Schizosaccharomyces pombe: one gene and its partner. Changing the gene in region 2 together with the main gene of any one other region gives a genetic interaction. Each region holds a gene or a part of one and is shown on either strand. Other genes may lie near its edges.

What was found.
Region 1: mutations in bsu1 (region 2) and thi9 impair growth when combined (synthetic growth defect), as found in Schizosaccharomyces pombe (one study listed by BioGRID).

What each region holds. Positions count from the first base shown.
Region 1 is NC_003424.3:1,478,930-1,486,692, forward strand, and holds thi9 (plasma membrane thiamine/proton high affinity transmembrane transporter Thi9), read left to right. Parts: upstream 1-3,489; 5' UTR 3,490-3,904; coding exon 3,905-5,680; 3' UTR 5,681-5,823; downstream 5,824-7,763. Other genes in the region: homocysteine methyltransferase Met26, read left to right, coding at 1-1,992; SPOM_SPAC9.11 (uncharacterized protein), read left to right, coding at 6,889-6,958, 7,017-7,763. UniProt on the Schizosaccharomyces pombe protein: Thiamine transporter involved in the cellular uptake of thiamine. Pyrithiamine, oxythiamine, amprolium, and the thiazole part of thiamine have been shown to be also substrates of thi9.
Region 2 is NC_003424.3:3,546,377-3,553,638, forward strand, and holds bsu1 (vitatmin B6 import carrier Bsu1), read left to right. Parts: upstream 1-3,657; 5' UTR 3,658-3,775; coding exon 3,776-5,356; 3' UTR 5,357-5,691; downstream 5,692-7,262. Other genes in the region: poly(A)-specific ribonuclease complex subunit Pan3, read right to left, coding at 1-325, 364-538, 676-776, 891-903; TLC domain-containing protein Tlc4, read right to left, coding at 6,491-7,262.

The sequences.
Region 1 (7,763 bases), 2.1 Mb from region 2:
CAACGTGCTGCTACTGCCGATAAGGCTGCCGTTGATGTCCCCGCCGGTGAGATGGTCAAGTGGTTTGACAGCAACTACCATTTCTTGCGTCCCGAGGTTTCTGAGGAGACTGACTTCAAGTTGAGCTCTACTAAGGCTCTCGACGAGTTCCTTGAGGCTAAGGAAGCTGGTATCATCACTCGCCCTGTTCTTGTTGGTCCCGTTACCTACTTGTTCATTGCTAAGGCCGCCAAGGGTTCTAGCATTAAGCCTATTGAACTCTTGCCCAAGCTTTTACCCGTTTATGTTGAGCTTATCAAGAAGCTTACTGAGGCTGGTGCAGAGTACATCCAAATTGATGAGCCTATCCTTACTCTTGACTTGCCCCAAGAGATCCTTGCTAGCTACAAGGAAGCTTATGAGACTCTTGGTAAGATCGGTAAGCTCATTTTGACCACCTACTTCGGCTCTCTTCAAAGCAATGCCGATGTTTTGAAGGGTCTCCCTATTGCTGGTGTCCACGTTGATGTCGTTCGTGCTCCTGAGAACTTGGACCGTGCTCTTGCCGTTCTCGGTGAGAACCAAATCATCTCTGTTGGTGTCGTTTCCGGAAGAAACATCTGGAAGACTGATTTCCAAAAGGCCACTGCCATCATTGAGAAGGCTATTAGCGCTGTCGGCAGTGAGCGTGTGCAAGTTGCTTCTTCCTCCAGCATTCTTCACATTCCTCACTCCCTTTCTGGCGAAGACCAAATTAATCCTGAAATTAAGCGTTGGTTCGCCTTTGCTGTTGAAAAGTGTGCTGAATTAGCTATTCTTACTAAGGCTGCTAATGACGGCCCTGCCTCCGTTCGTGCTGAACTCGAGGCCAACGCTGCTGACTGCAAAGCTCGTGCTGAGTCTCCCATCACCAATGTTGAGGCCGTTCGTGAACGTCAAAGCAAGGTTACTCCCCAAATGCATGAACGTAAGAGTCCCTTTGAGACCCGTTATGCCAAGCAACAAGCTTCCCTTAAGCTTCCTCTTTTCCCTACCACCACTATTGGCTCTTTTCCTCAAACCAAGGAAATTCGTGTAACCAGAAACAGATTCGCTAAGGGTCTCATTTCTCAAGAGGAATATGATGCCTTCATCCGTAAGGAGATTTCTGATGTTGTCAAATTCCAAGAGGAAGTTGGTCTTGACGTTCTGGTTCACGGTGAACCCGAGCGTAACGATATGGTTCAATACTTTGGTGAAAGAATGGAGGGCTTTGTCTTTACTGTCAACGGTTGGGTCCAATCTTATGGTTCCCGTTGTGTCCGTCCTCCTATCATTGTCGGTGATGTTTATCGTCCCGCCCCTATGACCGTTAAGGAGTCTCAATATGCTCAATCCATTACTTCTAAGCCTATGAAGGGTATGTTGACTGCTCCCATCACTATTCTTAGATGGTCTTTCCCTCGTGACGATGTTCATGACTCTGTCCAAGCTCAACAAATTGCTCTTGGTCTCAGAGATGAGGTCCTTGATCTTGAAAAGGCTGGTATTAAAGTCATTCAATGTGATGAGCCTGCCTTACGTGAAGGTCTTCCTCTTCGTCGTGCCGAGTGGGATGAGTATCTCAAATGGGCTATCGATGCTTTCCGTTTGGCTACTGCTGCTGTTCAAGATGACACTCAAATTCACTCCCATTTCTGTTATTCTGACTTCAATGACATTTTCGATGCCATTCAACGTTTGGATGCTGACGTTGTTTCCATTGAGAACTCCAAGTCTGACATGAAGTTGTTGAATGTTCTTAGCCGCTATACCTCTTGCATCGGTCCCGGTCTTTTCGATATCCACTCTCCTCGTGTTCCTCCTGTTTCCGAGTTCAAGGAGCGTATTGATGCTATTGTCAAGCATGTTCCTAAGGATCATCTCTGGCTCAACCCTGACTGTGGTTTGAAGACCCGTGGATGGCCTGAGACTACTGCTGACTTGAAGAACATGATTGCCGCTGCTCGTGAAGCTCGTGAGCAATACGCTTAAGTCACTTATTTTGAAGAAAAAGGACAATTTTTTTCCTTTATTTTCCATGATAATATTTAAAAAGGGGTTGTTAACCTTCAACATGGTTAACCGGTAATGAAACGAATGTTTGAAATGAAAATGTTTCTGAGGCTGCATAGCTGTTTTCTCATCAACTGAGGGTAACAAGTTGATATATTTTGCTATGTGATGGCGTTTTTGTTAATATTAGAATCTAATGAAAATACTTATAAATGGGTTTTCAGGTATTATTCGATGAATGTTTTGTGTATAACTGAATACAGTACGTTTGAATCTTAAGTAAGGATGTAGTCGACATGTAGGCGTGCTCTTATAACAGAGGTATCAAGTTTTTGGAATTTGTTGTAAAGTAGTTAAAGTAAATACTTGAAAGAATATGGAAAAGTGGGGTGAAATTGATTTTGCTGGATTTGCACAAGTGGTGATGGTAAACGTTACGAAAGTGTGTATCAAACATGCGATATTTCTATTTTGGTAGTAAGGACTTTTAAGGAAACATTTTGTGCTTTTTCTTCAAAAAAGTGGGCACTTAAATACTGGTGCCATTTATGAATTTGAATGTGATGTTTTCTACTGACACTTAAGTTTTCCTACATTAAGAGGATAGAAAAAGGAGCTGAGATCTCAAACGCTTTAAATAGTGAGAACTTGAAAATTGATTTAGTACTAGTTTTCTTGACATCCATAATCTTTTAAAGTTAGCATAAGATCACAACATTTTGTGTTCATGTAAACGTCTTCTTTTACTTAAATGGGATATCCACAAACCCGCACATGCTAGAAATAAATTGACTAAATGTTTTACATAAAACGTGGTGCCACGTGATGACAAATGTACATTTAACACAAGGAACTAGGTTGCACTGACTCAGTCTCCCTGTATCACCAGTATCCGACATAAATTGTCGCCTACTTGCATTCCACCTAAACTTTTTATCTTTTTCCACATTGTGATGGTACTCCAAAATTGCAAATCACAGAACGGCGTACCGGTAATGGATACCTGCTGCCCTATATGAAACCAAAGCTGCCCTTGTAGAATTCGAGATAGCTTACGCTGTTGCAGATTCAGTTCAATCAAGTAAATTATTAAAAAGAGAAATAATTATTTGTATTATAAGGTTATTAATATATATTGGATTAACAGCCTATGTATTCACCTAATGTACATATACGATAGTTAAATTGTTGACTATTTTCGCTAAGCACCGAGCTTAAAATGATGCTAAAATTTCCTCATTCGCCTTAGGTTGATTTGGCATATAAAAGTATTTCTCACCCATTAAGTGCCTAAATCGAGCTAAATTTCCATCGTCCACGATAATTTGAGCTCTTCTGATTTAACAAACACCCGTTTTATGTCAGATTGCCTTTTTCTGCCACCAACGTGTGAGACACATTTTTATTCATCAACCGGGTTCAAGCACCCGGGAACACCGGTTATATAATAACAAAATTTCGAGTCTGATTTTTCTTAAAACTTTTGCAAATTACTTTTCTTTTAATTATTTGAGAAGCTTGTTAGCGATATCTCAATCTTTGCTTTTAAAAAAAAACCAGTGTTGGAACAGTACAGTATTTCGTAAAGTGGCTGTTATAATTGACCTCACTGAATTTTAAAAAAAAATCGGTTACGCATAATCTTTGACAGATTTTGTTAAAAAGACGATAAGTTTCCTTTCTCGTCCTTTTGAAGAGGTTCATTCTTTTTTTTTTTTTTTAAAAATAAAGGCACATTTATTTACTAAATACTTATCGCCTTTAAGTGGGCTCTTTTGTTATAATCCAGCAAGAAGTTCAATCTATTTATTTATAAGGTTTTTTTATGAACGATTGAAAATTTCTTTTTCTTTCTGACTTTTTCATTTGCTATTATTACAATTGCTTCGCCATGCCTTCTTCACAAATAAGCCATCAAGATCCAGAGCTTGGACAAACCTCCTCAGGCTCTTCCAGTATCAAGGAGAAAGCAGAACCTCAGCTCTATGCTGGTCCCATCGACCCTGCTAGAAGGCCCGATGTCTTTCAAGAAGGATTTGAAGATGTTTCTGTCACAGACGACGATAATGATAATGAGTTATTACGGAAAATGGGCTATCAACCTGTGCTTCATCGTTCTTTTGAATTCTTTGAGAGTTTCGCTGCCAGTTTTGCTTCCTTAGATGTCGTTAGTGGTGTTCGCTTGACCTTTAGTTGGGGTATTTCATTTGGTGGTCCTGCTGCATATTGGTCGGCTATGTTGGTAACTGGATTTTGTTCAATCGTTACTGCCGCATGCTTAGCAGAAATTTGTTCTGCTCTTCCTGCCGCAGGTTCTATCTATTTGTGGGCCGCAGAATCTGCTGGTCCAAGATTCGGTCGTTTTGTTAGTTTCTTAGTTGCTTGGTGGTCTACTACCGCTTGGACTACATTTGTCGCATCGATCACTCAATCTACTGCCAATTTCATCTTTGCTGAAGTTAGCACGTTTAATAACCCTTGGCCTACTAACGACAGTGACGTTAAATTTCGTGCTGTTCAATGGATTGTAGCCGAAGTGCTTTTAGTGTTTACTATCCTTCTTAATCAAGTCCCACCTCGTTATTACAAATGGATCTTTAAAGCATCAATGTTATTGATGTTTATCGATTATGTAATGAATATTATTTGGGTCCCTGTTGCTACATCTAAAAAACCTGATGGCTTCAGGTCGGCCAAATGGGTCTTTACGGAAACCATTTATGACCAGGCTGGATATATCAAGGAGGTTGATGATGCCAACGGCAACCCCATCGCTTCACTTTCAAAAATCGTTCCAAAGGGCTGGCAGTGGTGCTTGTCTTACTTTGCTACTGCTGGTGTCATTGTGGGTTACGATGCATCTGGTCATATTGCCGAGGAAACTAAAGATGCCAGTATTAAAGCAGCTCGCGGTATTTTTTATTCTACCGTAACATCTTTTATCGTTGCTTTTAGTCTTGCTATCCTTTATCTTTTCTGTTGTCCTGACCTTGATACTTTTACAGCTATTTTATACAACGACAATTCTCCTCAACCATTTGTCAATTTTTACTCCTATCTTCTAGGACGCGGCGGACACGTGGTTATGAACGTTGTTATTATCCTCGAAATCTTCCTGAACGGTGTAGTTTCAGTTTTAGCTTGTAGTCGATTAGTGTTTGCAGTCTCGCGTGATGGCGTTCTTCCTTTTTCGAATTGGATTAGTCAAGTAAGTAAAACCGGTCAACCAAAGAATGCTATCACTGTTATCTACATTGTTTCAGCTCTTTTACTTTGCACCATTCTTCCTAGTGCAGTTGCTTTTACCTCCCTTGTTTCCGCCGCTGGTGCACCAAGTTTTGCTGCTTATGCTGTATTGGCGTTTTGCCGCCTCTTTATTACACGCGATAAATTCCCAAAAGGCCGTTGGTCTTTGGGTTGGTTAAGTAAGCCTTGTTTGGTCATTACATTGGTTTACAACTTGTTTGCTCTTGTTGTTAATGTTTCTCCTTATACTTATCCCGTTACAGGTCCTTCTTTCAATTATGCCGTTGTCATTATGGGTGGTGTTTCCATCTTCGCCATTATCTGTACGATTGTAATTCCCAAATCCAGATGGGTCGCAAATAGATATCGCTATGAATCGGATTCTGAACATAGTGCTAGCGTTAAAGAACTCAAGGTATGAGAGGTTCAACTGTTTCAATTTATTATTTCGTTTGGGGTTTTGGTTTATTTAATTTTCAGCTTTTTATTCAGAAATTCTATCGTCATTCTATTTTCTTTTTCCTTTATGTTATACGATAATATATTGAATAAAAGCATTTTCATTCATACTTATACACGTAAAATATCTTTAATTATGTAGTACTGTTCGCCTTGCGCTGCAATAATAATAAATTAAGATATGCTAATTTGTTAAATAAATAGACATGATTTTATTAAAATGCATACACATTCTAATCAAGTCCGGACTAGTACTGAACTATTTAATTATATCTAATAAATGTTGGAATTGAAATGTATTATTGTTTTTTAGGAAAAAATTAATAAAAAATGCTCCTGGTGAGGCTCGAACTCACGACCTTCCCCTGTGTCATAATATGAGAGGGATGCTACCACCGACTGAGCTACAGAAGCTTGTTGAACACCACTAGGAAATATGAATTAATGTAGCTCTTAAAATATGATTTTAACAACTACTGAAATTTGATATTTGTTGTAACTATGAATACCAAAAATACATCTTTAAAAGCAATGTAGTGAATGGTATTGATTAAATGTGTTTTACTGATAGAATGAATACTTAAAAGAGTCTCATATGCGCACTCTCTCAAGCATTGATACAAACTCCTCATGAATTTAGATTTTAACCTACGACTATTTGCACTTCATACTGCATCCAAAATATTTGCACTGGATAGAGGTTGTATGTTGTTAGCCTGGACTGAAGGCATATTATTCAAATTTCCTCAACTTGGTGATATTGAATATGTCTTTTTGGATTATTCTAATTTATGTAATTCTAACTTTGATAGATGACTATAAGTGAAATTAATAAAAAATTAACAGTACATTATATGACCATTATTTTTAATGTCAATAACATATAGTAATATGCATAAGTATATAAAAGTTGTACACGACTTATCGACATAAAGAGAGTTGCTTAGTTCCACTAATCGCACCTTATAAACAAATTGAATCTTTACTCGAATAAACAAGCTAAAGTTGTGAAAAGCGAAGTGAACTTTTCACTGTTTCAAGATAATCACGTTGACCTACTTTAGGAAGTTTTTAAATACACTAAGAATTGCAGATTTTCCTAGTTGGTACTTTTGTGTTTTTTGTCAAATCCTTATGACACTTGTTCAACCTTTTTTCTTTATTATATAAATGGATTCTGCTAACAAAAATACAAAAATATTTGCTGAGCAATTGGGTAATGACTTTACAATTTCAGTTGGTATGTAATGCCGTGTGTTTTTAATGGAAGATTAATAAGTTAATAAAATAAAATACAGATGATGAAGATATGGAAATGGAGTATCCGTTGCGTTCCTCTACGCCCACAAAAGTAATAGACGACCAACGAGAAATCTTGCTTCAGAAAGCATCGCGAATCTCTAAATTAGACGAAGCGCTTTGCGAGCTTAATAATGAATCTAATGGCTCAATAGATTTATCTATTGACAGCTTCATACCATCTTACGATGAATTCTTGCATAAAAAACTACTAAACGAGGATACTGGTCATGAAAGCAAAGTATCAGACCAAGTTAAGCAAGTCATCAGCACTCCTATGAGCACCTGCTTTGAGCAGTGGTTCGAAGGAGAAGAACAATCGTCTACGGGGAACAATCAAGATATATCCTACTCTAGCGTCAACTCTCTATCTCCAAAAAGACGAGGCATCTCTCTTATGTCCATTGATGCTAACAAATTGAGTCCTAAAAAAACTTCCCCAAATTCTGGATACATAACATCTCCTTTAAGGCATCCGATTTTACTTTCCGAAACAGAACCTGGAACCCCAACAAAAAATGATTCACCTGCTTATATCGGATTACCTTCACAACCCAATAGTATAACTACTTTGAATAACACTAACCAGAAATTCCAAGTTCCTGATAATGACAAACCACCTATGTCTTCATTAAATGAACTATCTGCATCCTACAAGCCTATCGTATTCGACTCTTCGCAGCATAAAACTCAAGGCACTGACAATAATGACTCTTTTTACCACGACGATACAAATTGCATTCATC
Region 2 (7,262 bases):
GGAACAAAGCTGGCAGAACGTGTCAACGAATGAAGATTTACGAGGCTTCCAGAAGGTGAACTGGCACCGGAAATTGAATTTAAGTTACTCACAGATTTATTGTTCGAGAGACTGGTTAGGGATGCACTCTCTTTCAACGATACTGTTGTGGCCTTGGAGGGAGAAAAGGGAACTGCTGAAGCAGCTCGTGCCAACGAAGATTTGTGCGTTTGAAGGGCGTTTGCAGCTTTAGAACTAGAGGTCATTAAAGATACCGTTTTAGGAGAATTGGCTGCCTGTTGGGCCGCAGCACCATTTTTTCCAGAGGAAAGAGCTGAAGAGTAGGCTAAATGATTAGTACATAACATCAACAAGGTCGCATACATTTTGGCCTAGTGAGGGGTACGGACTCTTTATTGGAAGCACTTGAAATTGAGGTTTTCGACAACTTTAAGGGAGTGAAAGATGGCGAATTTATACTGAGCTTGGTGGAAAAGCCAGAGTTTTGTGGATCTATTGCAGTAGCAGAAGGTGGTTTTGAAGATGCCGGTGCATTATCCTAAAAAAAGAGAATTGGTCAGTCATTTAATGTTTTAAAAGAAAATAATAAGAAAGAATAAAAGCAATAATTATAAAGCGAAAAGAAAACAAAGGTGAACCTATCAAAAACATATAAAAAAACTCAACTTCACATACTTGATTTTTATGTTGAAAAAAACACCCCTTATCTATGTATGGACATCTTCCATAAAGTTGTTCATTTCTACAGGGAATGTTGGTTGAGAATATGGATGATCCTGATTGAACATGTAAGCTTATGTTTGAAATAAGAGCAAAAAACTCGCCAATAAAATTAATTATACTAAACGTTTCTCTTTGGAAATTTCTTTTATTAAAAAATAATCACTTACGCCTTTCATCCATTTTTCCAACATTATTTTATAATAGCGGTTGTTGTATGTGGGTGTACGTTGGGCGCTCTATGCCAGCTCTAGTACCCTACGAATAGATGATGGTAATAGAACAGTAGTTTGGTTGCATGCTTCAAGCATTTGGTTTTATAAAATAATTTACTTTGATAAAAAGAATTAGTTAGGAGTTAAGACCGTTAGGTGTTTAGGTGCGTTTCCTTTACGAATTGCATATAATAGTAAAGTAGCTATCTTGGGAATGTCAAACGAGTTGTTGCTAAGATGATTTTTAACAAGGTAAACTACAGTATTAACCCATTGCTTGTACCTTGATCGATAAGTCTGCTGCCAGCTATAAGTGGTCTAAACATTAGCTAGGTGCATATTGCCGACAATCGCTATGAATAAAAATGCATTGTTAATTCAATTTATCAAGGGGAAAGCATTGCAATTGATCGAAACGAACGGTTAAGCAAAGTTAACATCAAGTTAGATAGTTGATGTTTTTGATGGTTTATAGACAGTTTGTCTTCACGAACAAATCACTTCGTTCAATTGCAATCAAGGAAATAAATTGGCGTGAATGAAAAAAAAAAACATGAAAATAATTCATATTGGTTTCAAAAAAAGATGAGCCTACAGCACCCCGGATTCCCATGTTGTCTCCAACCATAGTACCAACGAGGCCCTCAGACGCTTAACTGCAGTGATCGGACGGGAACTGGTGTTTTCGCCTACGTATGGCCGTAGACATTGAGTTTAGTAATTAATAATATATATAGTATTCTTGGATAATGTTGGTAAAGAGAAAATTGCTTAATTTGTAAACTGCGAGTAGCCAAAACAATAATATTTGCCAATAACAAAGCAAGTTTTACAGTATTCATTTCCCAACCCAAGGAGTTTTGAATGGGGAATATTCAACAAAAAGAGTTTCGACTTAATACTTCCTGTTACTCTTGTGAATCCTCAATTTTGAAGTCAGCTTTGTCAAGACACATACAGTTCATGTTTATATTTTAATCATACTATTATTTGTCAGGATTTCTCAATTATATTCTTTGTTTACTTGAAATTGATCTCCAGGGAAATCTTGTTTTTTAAAAATCTGGCTGCTGTGAAGTAATCTACTAGTTAGTTTTTCATTTTATTTTAGCTTGTAATTTTATTGAGTGATGGCATTTTCAATTGTAGTAAATAATTAGGGAATCACTTGCAGCAATCAAGAATTGCAATTGAACGATTAACGAGAACGATACAGTTAGGTTTTTTTTTTTTTTTTTTTTTTTTTTTTTTTTTTGAAAATAAACATTGACCTTAAGGTATGTTCTTTTCAAAATTAATTTTTATCTGATGAACAAACCTGGGTCTCAGCTACATTTGTTATCTACTTATACCATTTTGCTGAATGAATTCATTTTTTATTCATTGCAAAGTTTTGGTATGTTGAAGATGTTGAAAAAATAAATAAATAAATAACACATAACTGTAAGATTAGATAGACAAAAGAAATTTCTAGATTTAATTTTATCCTATTTTATATTTTTTGTTGCAAAAGATTTCATACGTGAACTTGTCAAAATAGATACAAAAGAAACAAGAAAAATAAAGAGTAGAAAAAAAAAAAAAGAAAAAAAAAAAAAGAATTAAAAAGAAAAGAAAATTCATATTATCTGGTTGCTTCAATCCATATTTCTAACTTTTCCTCATTAGGATCTATCTCATTATAACAATACTTAAAGCCACTACAAAGATATGCTACGTAAATCAAAACACACCGTATTTGCACTATTACATTGCTAAACTAGTCCACGATAAAAAAATAGTGAAGCGTAACCTAATTCACTAACGTACTAACACCATCTGATAAAATGGTTCATTAAACAATCTCGGGAAACTGCGTGCGTCTGTGCGCGCTAGCATCTAAACATTACAGCGTGCCGAATACCAACATCAACAACATTGTAAAAATACAAACAAATAATAGACGATTGAATTGTTATTGATGTAACATCGTTTATAAAACTTGTGCCTTTTTAGAATACTTATCATCTTACTGAATAAGAAGAAAATACTTAACAATCTTTATTTCTGGGTATTTGCCAACTTGGTAGGGCGATCAAACTTCAAATTGTACCCGATGAACTGATAATTTAAAGGAAGGTCCCGAATCAAATGAAACTCCTTTTGTTGACATTTTGGTTAAAACGGTTCAGCGTTCCATGATTATTTTCTTTTTTTAGTAGTAAGTAGGTTCATCGGGGATTAAATGGATCCATCAGACTCAAACCTCTTTTCCTAGCAATTTTCAGTTTAACAATTAAAACCAAAATTAAGAGGATACAAGAGATGCTTAGTTGGGACACTTTTTTGTTAAGAGGTTCTCTCACTTTATCTGCCAAAAATTTGCAATCTCAAGCACCCATTACTACATTTCCCTTAATGTTCAATAGCATGCATTTTTAATCTTCTAAACTTATCGATAGAATTCTTCTAAAAATGAATTCCTTTCTTTCGATGATCATACTAAAAATTTCACAATTCTTAACACTTTCGCTACAGACTACCGACGGTATTCGCTTGCCGAACGATGCTTTTCAAACTCTGATGTTTCTCATTAATTGCGTTTGTCTGTAAGAATAGCGCTTTCAAATATGATATTGCCAGTTAGTGAACAACCGGAATCTTGTTCCGGCGGTAATGTGCGTGAAGAACAAAATGTTTGAATACATATATTGAACGCAGGGACCAATGGAATTTTCATTATCAACCTTAACAAGCTATTTTTCCTTTATTTTTAGTTGATTTTTCTATACCCCTTGAGCTTAGCTTCATAAGGGTAAATAAGGAATAAAGTACTAGTTTTCTTGTGAGGCAAAACAATCATGGCCAGTAAAATTGCGAGTTTATTTTCTCCGTCTGAAACGGCCTCTAAGGATCAACATGAAAATGTTGCAGAGGATTTGGAGTTAGGCACTGCCTCCTCTCAATCAGATGGAATTCATGAAACCAATTCTGAATATGATGAAAAAAAGAGAGAGGAATCGCCCGAGGTTATCGACATATCAAATTTAATTTCTTCTGATCACCCGGCTCACCCTCAAAACTGGCATTGGGCCAAACGTTGGAGTATTGTATTTATGTTTTGTTTAATGCAGATCTATGTTATTTGGACAAGCAATGGGTTTGGCAGTATTGAGTACAGTGTTATGGCCCAATTTAATGTGTCTGCTCAAGTAGCTACATTGTGCTTAAGTATGAACATCTTGGGTAGTGGATTGGGTCCTATGTTTTTGGGCCCGCTGTCTGACATTGGTGGCAGGAAGCCCGTTTACTTTTGTTCCATTTTCGTTTACACAGTCTTTAATATTTCGTGTGCTCTACCCCGTAACATCGTTCAAATGATTATTTCCCATTTCATCATCGGTGTTGCTGGTAGTACTGCTTTGACAAACGTTGCAGGTGGTATTCCAGATCTTTTCCCGGAAGACACAGCTGGTGTTCCAATGTCTTTGTTTGTTTGGGCTTGTGCAGGAGGTGCAATTGGTGCGCCAATGGCTACAGGAGTAGACATTAATGCCAAGTATGGCTGGCGTTGGCTTTATTATATTAACATTATCGTTGGTGGCTTTTTCCTTATCGTGATTCTAATTATTCCTGAAACCTTACCCATTAAAGTTATTACAAGATATGAAAATGCCAAGGGCCGAATTGTAGAAGGAATTCCTAAAAACAATTTGAAGGAAGTTTTGAAGAAATGTAAATTCGTCACTACCATGGGATTTCGAATGATGCTTACCGAACCCATTATTCTTTCAATGGGTTTATACAACTTTTACGCTTATGGTATTTCCTATTTTTTCTTGACTGCTATTTGGCCCGTGTTTTACGACACCTATAAAATGTCGGAAATGGGTGCTAGTTGTACGTATTTATCTGGGTTTGTTGCTAGTACTCTCCTGTTCTTGTATCAACCAATTCAAGATTGGATTTTCCGCAGAGATAAAGCAAAAAACAATGGTGTTGCTCGTCCCGAAGCTAGATTTACCAGTGCTTTGTTTATTACGTTATTGTTCCCTGCAGGAATGTTCTTGTTTGCATTCACTTGTCATCCACCTTTCCCCTGGATGTCTCCGATTGTTGGTAATAGTATGGTAACAGTTGCGAATGGTCATAACTGGATGTGCATTCTGAATTACTTGACTGACTCTTACCCTTTGCTTTCTGGCTCAGCCGTTGCCGCTTTTACTCTTCCTTCCTTTATTGGGGCTACTGTTTTCGCCCATGTTAGTCAAATCATGTTCAATAACATGAGCGTCAAATGGGCTGTTGCAACTATGGCTTTCATTAGTATTAGTATTCCTTTTATTATTTACACATTTTATTTCTTTGGTCAAAGAATTCGGGCACTCAGTTCGCTTACAGGCAACAAGGCATTAAAATATTTACCTCTCGAAAACAACTAGTTTACAGTTGTTTTGTTTTTTAATCCGGTTGGGAACTTTTTTGTTTGTTTGGAACATAATTACGCGTATAGATTTTAAGAACCGTATAAAACTATCATGGCTGTCTTTGGATAAAAATTAATAAACGGTGATTAATGAGGAGTTGTTTCCCTCGCCTTTTTTTTTACCTACTGTAGTAATTGTTAATTGTGTTTTTATTATTTTTCAATTTATTTATTTACCTGAGTCTTAAATTTCTATCATTGCAAAACGTAGTGGTCATTTTTCAACTTGGAAGAACTTGAGAAGAAGGCTAAATTATGTATGTATAAATATACATATGAATACAACATACGAAATAAATACGTAAAGTCTACTGGTCTAGTTAATTAATAAAGAATAACCTAAACCGTTTCATTTAAACAAACTCATTTCTCTTTGCTAATGCCTTCCTTCACTGACCATGTTTGGCGGCATAATAAGTAATAAACGCTTTAGTTATAACAAGAATATCATTTACAAGTAATGTGCAACAGTTTCTTAGACAGTTTTGTACAAAAACAATAATTTATCATATTTCTATTACAATGTTAAAAGCGTTAATGCGATTTATTACTCGACAACTTTCAACAGTTTACACCGTCAGCAATTATCGTTTTAATGAATTATGGTTAATTAAGAACTCAATAAAAAGGAACAGTAGAAGACGTGTAATCCAAACAAGGCTAGAAAAGGTATATAAGTAAACCCTGAAATTCACTAAGGGAATAATTCTACTACATCCGGAATTTAAAAGATGAGAGATAAAGCGAATGTGATGTATAAGGAGACTAAAAAAGAATTAAATATTTGGTTGCTTAGAAATCAATAGCCTTATGAAGAGCGAATAGAGGTTCGCAAAGTCTCATAAATACATAGCCAAGAAGAATGGAAGATACATCAAAGAACAGGAATTCAAATCAAATAATTTATCAAAACAAACGTCTATCGTCAAATCAAATAGCTCTAATTAATATAAAAAACCAAAGTATTTGACTTAAATCCCAAGCCAAGTATTCATAAATAAATCGGGAAAAAATATACTATTTTTTTCAATAATAAAAATCATTGAAGGTACCTATTCAAAGAACCAAATGTGGAGAATGACACATACTTTCAAATGTTTTTCTTGGCATACTCAGATGTAACTTGCAAAGGAGTACTTTTCTTTTCTCCATGAGCGCGACGACGAATAGCATCAATCATTTTGGAAACCCAGAAAAGATTTAAACAATTGAGAGACATGTTAGCAGCAAGGTAGAAAAGACTCAAAGCCCAAGGAGCAACATTGATATGATTGAGAATTTCAATAGCAGTGCTGTAAGCAGAGAACCATCCCCAAGCGATACGTACGCAGATGAAGGTCACAATAAGAATGAAACCATTAATCATTTGAAATTTCGAGCCAGTACGGTTGGTTTTGTCTAAGAAGTAATGGATATTGAGAAAAGGGGTGCTAAGTTCCCAAGAGAGATAAGTAGGGCCATAATACATTAGGTATGGTCGATAACTAAAAGTAATAACAAACAAAGCAGCAATGGCATGAATGACAAATCCAATACCAGTAATGTGAACATAACGAACTGTGATGTAAAGATCCCATACAAAGTATCCAGCAGTCAAGGCGTATATGTCACCAGCCACAACAGAATATCCAAATAATTTATCGGGAAATGCATTGACCTCCTTCAAGCAAGTATACCCAAGGCAAATCAAGACAATACTTTGCACCGAACTGACAACGTGGGCGTCCCAATTCAACCGAGTCTTCTTCGATAACTTGGCATAATGGGTACTCAAATGTCTAGAGATAACTGGCGAAAGGATGTTTATGATTTGATAAAACAAAGCGCTCAGCAAAATAACATGCATGTGTCGAGGTAACTTG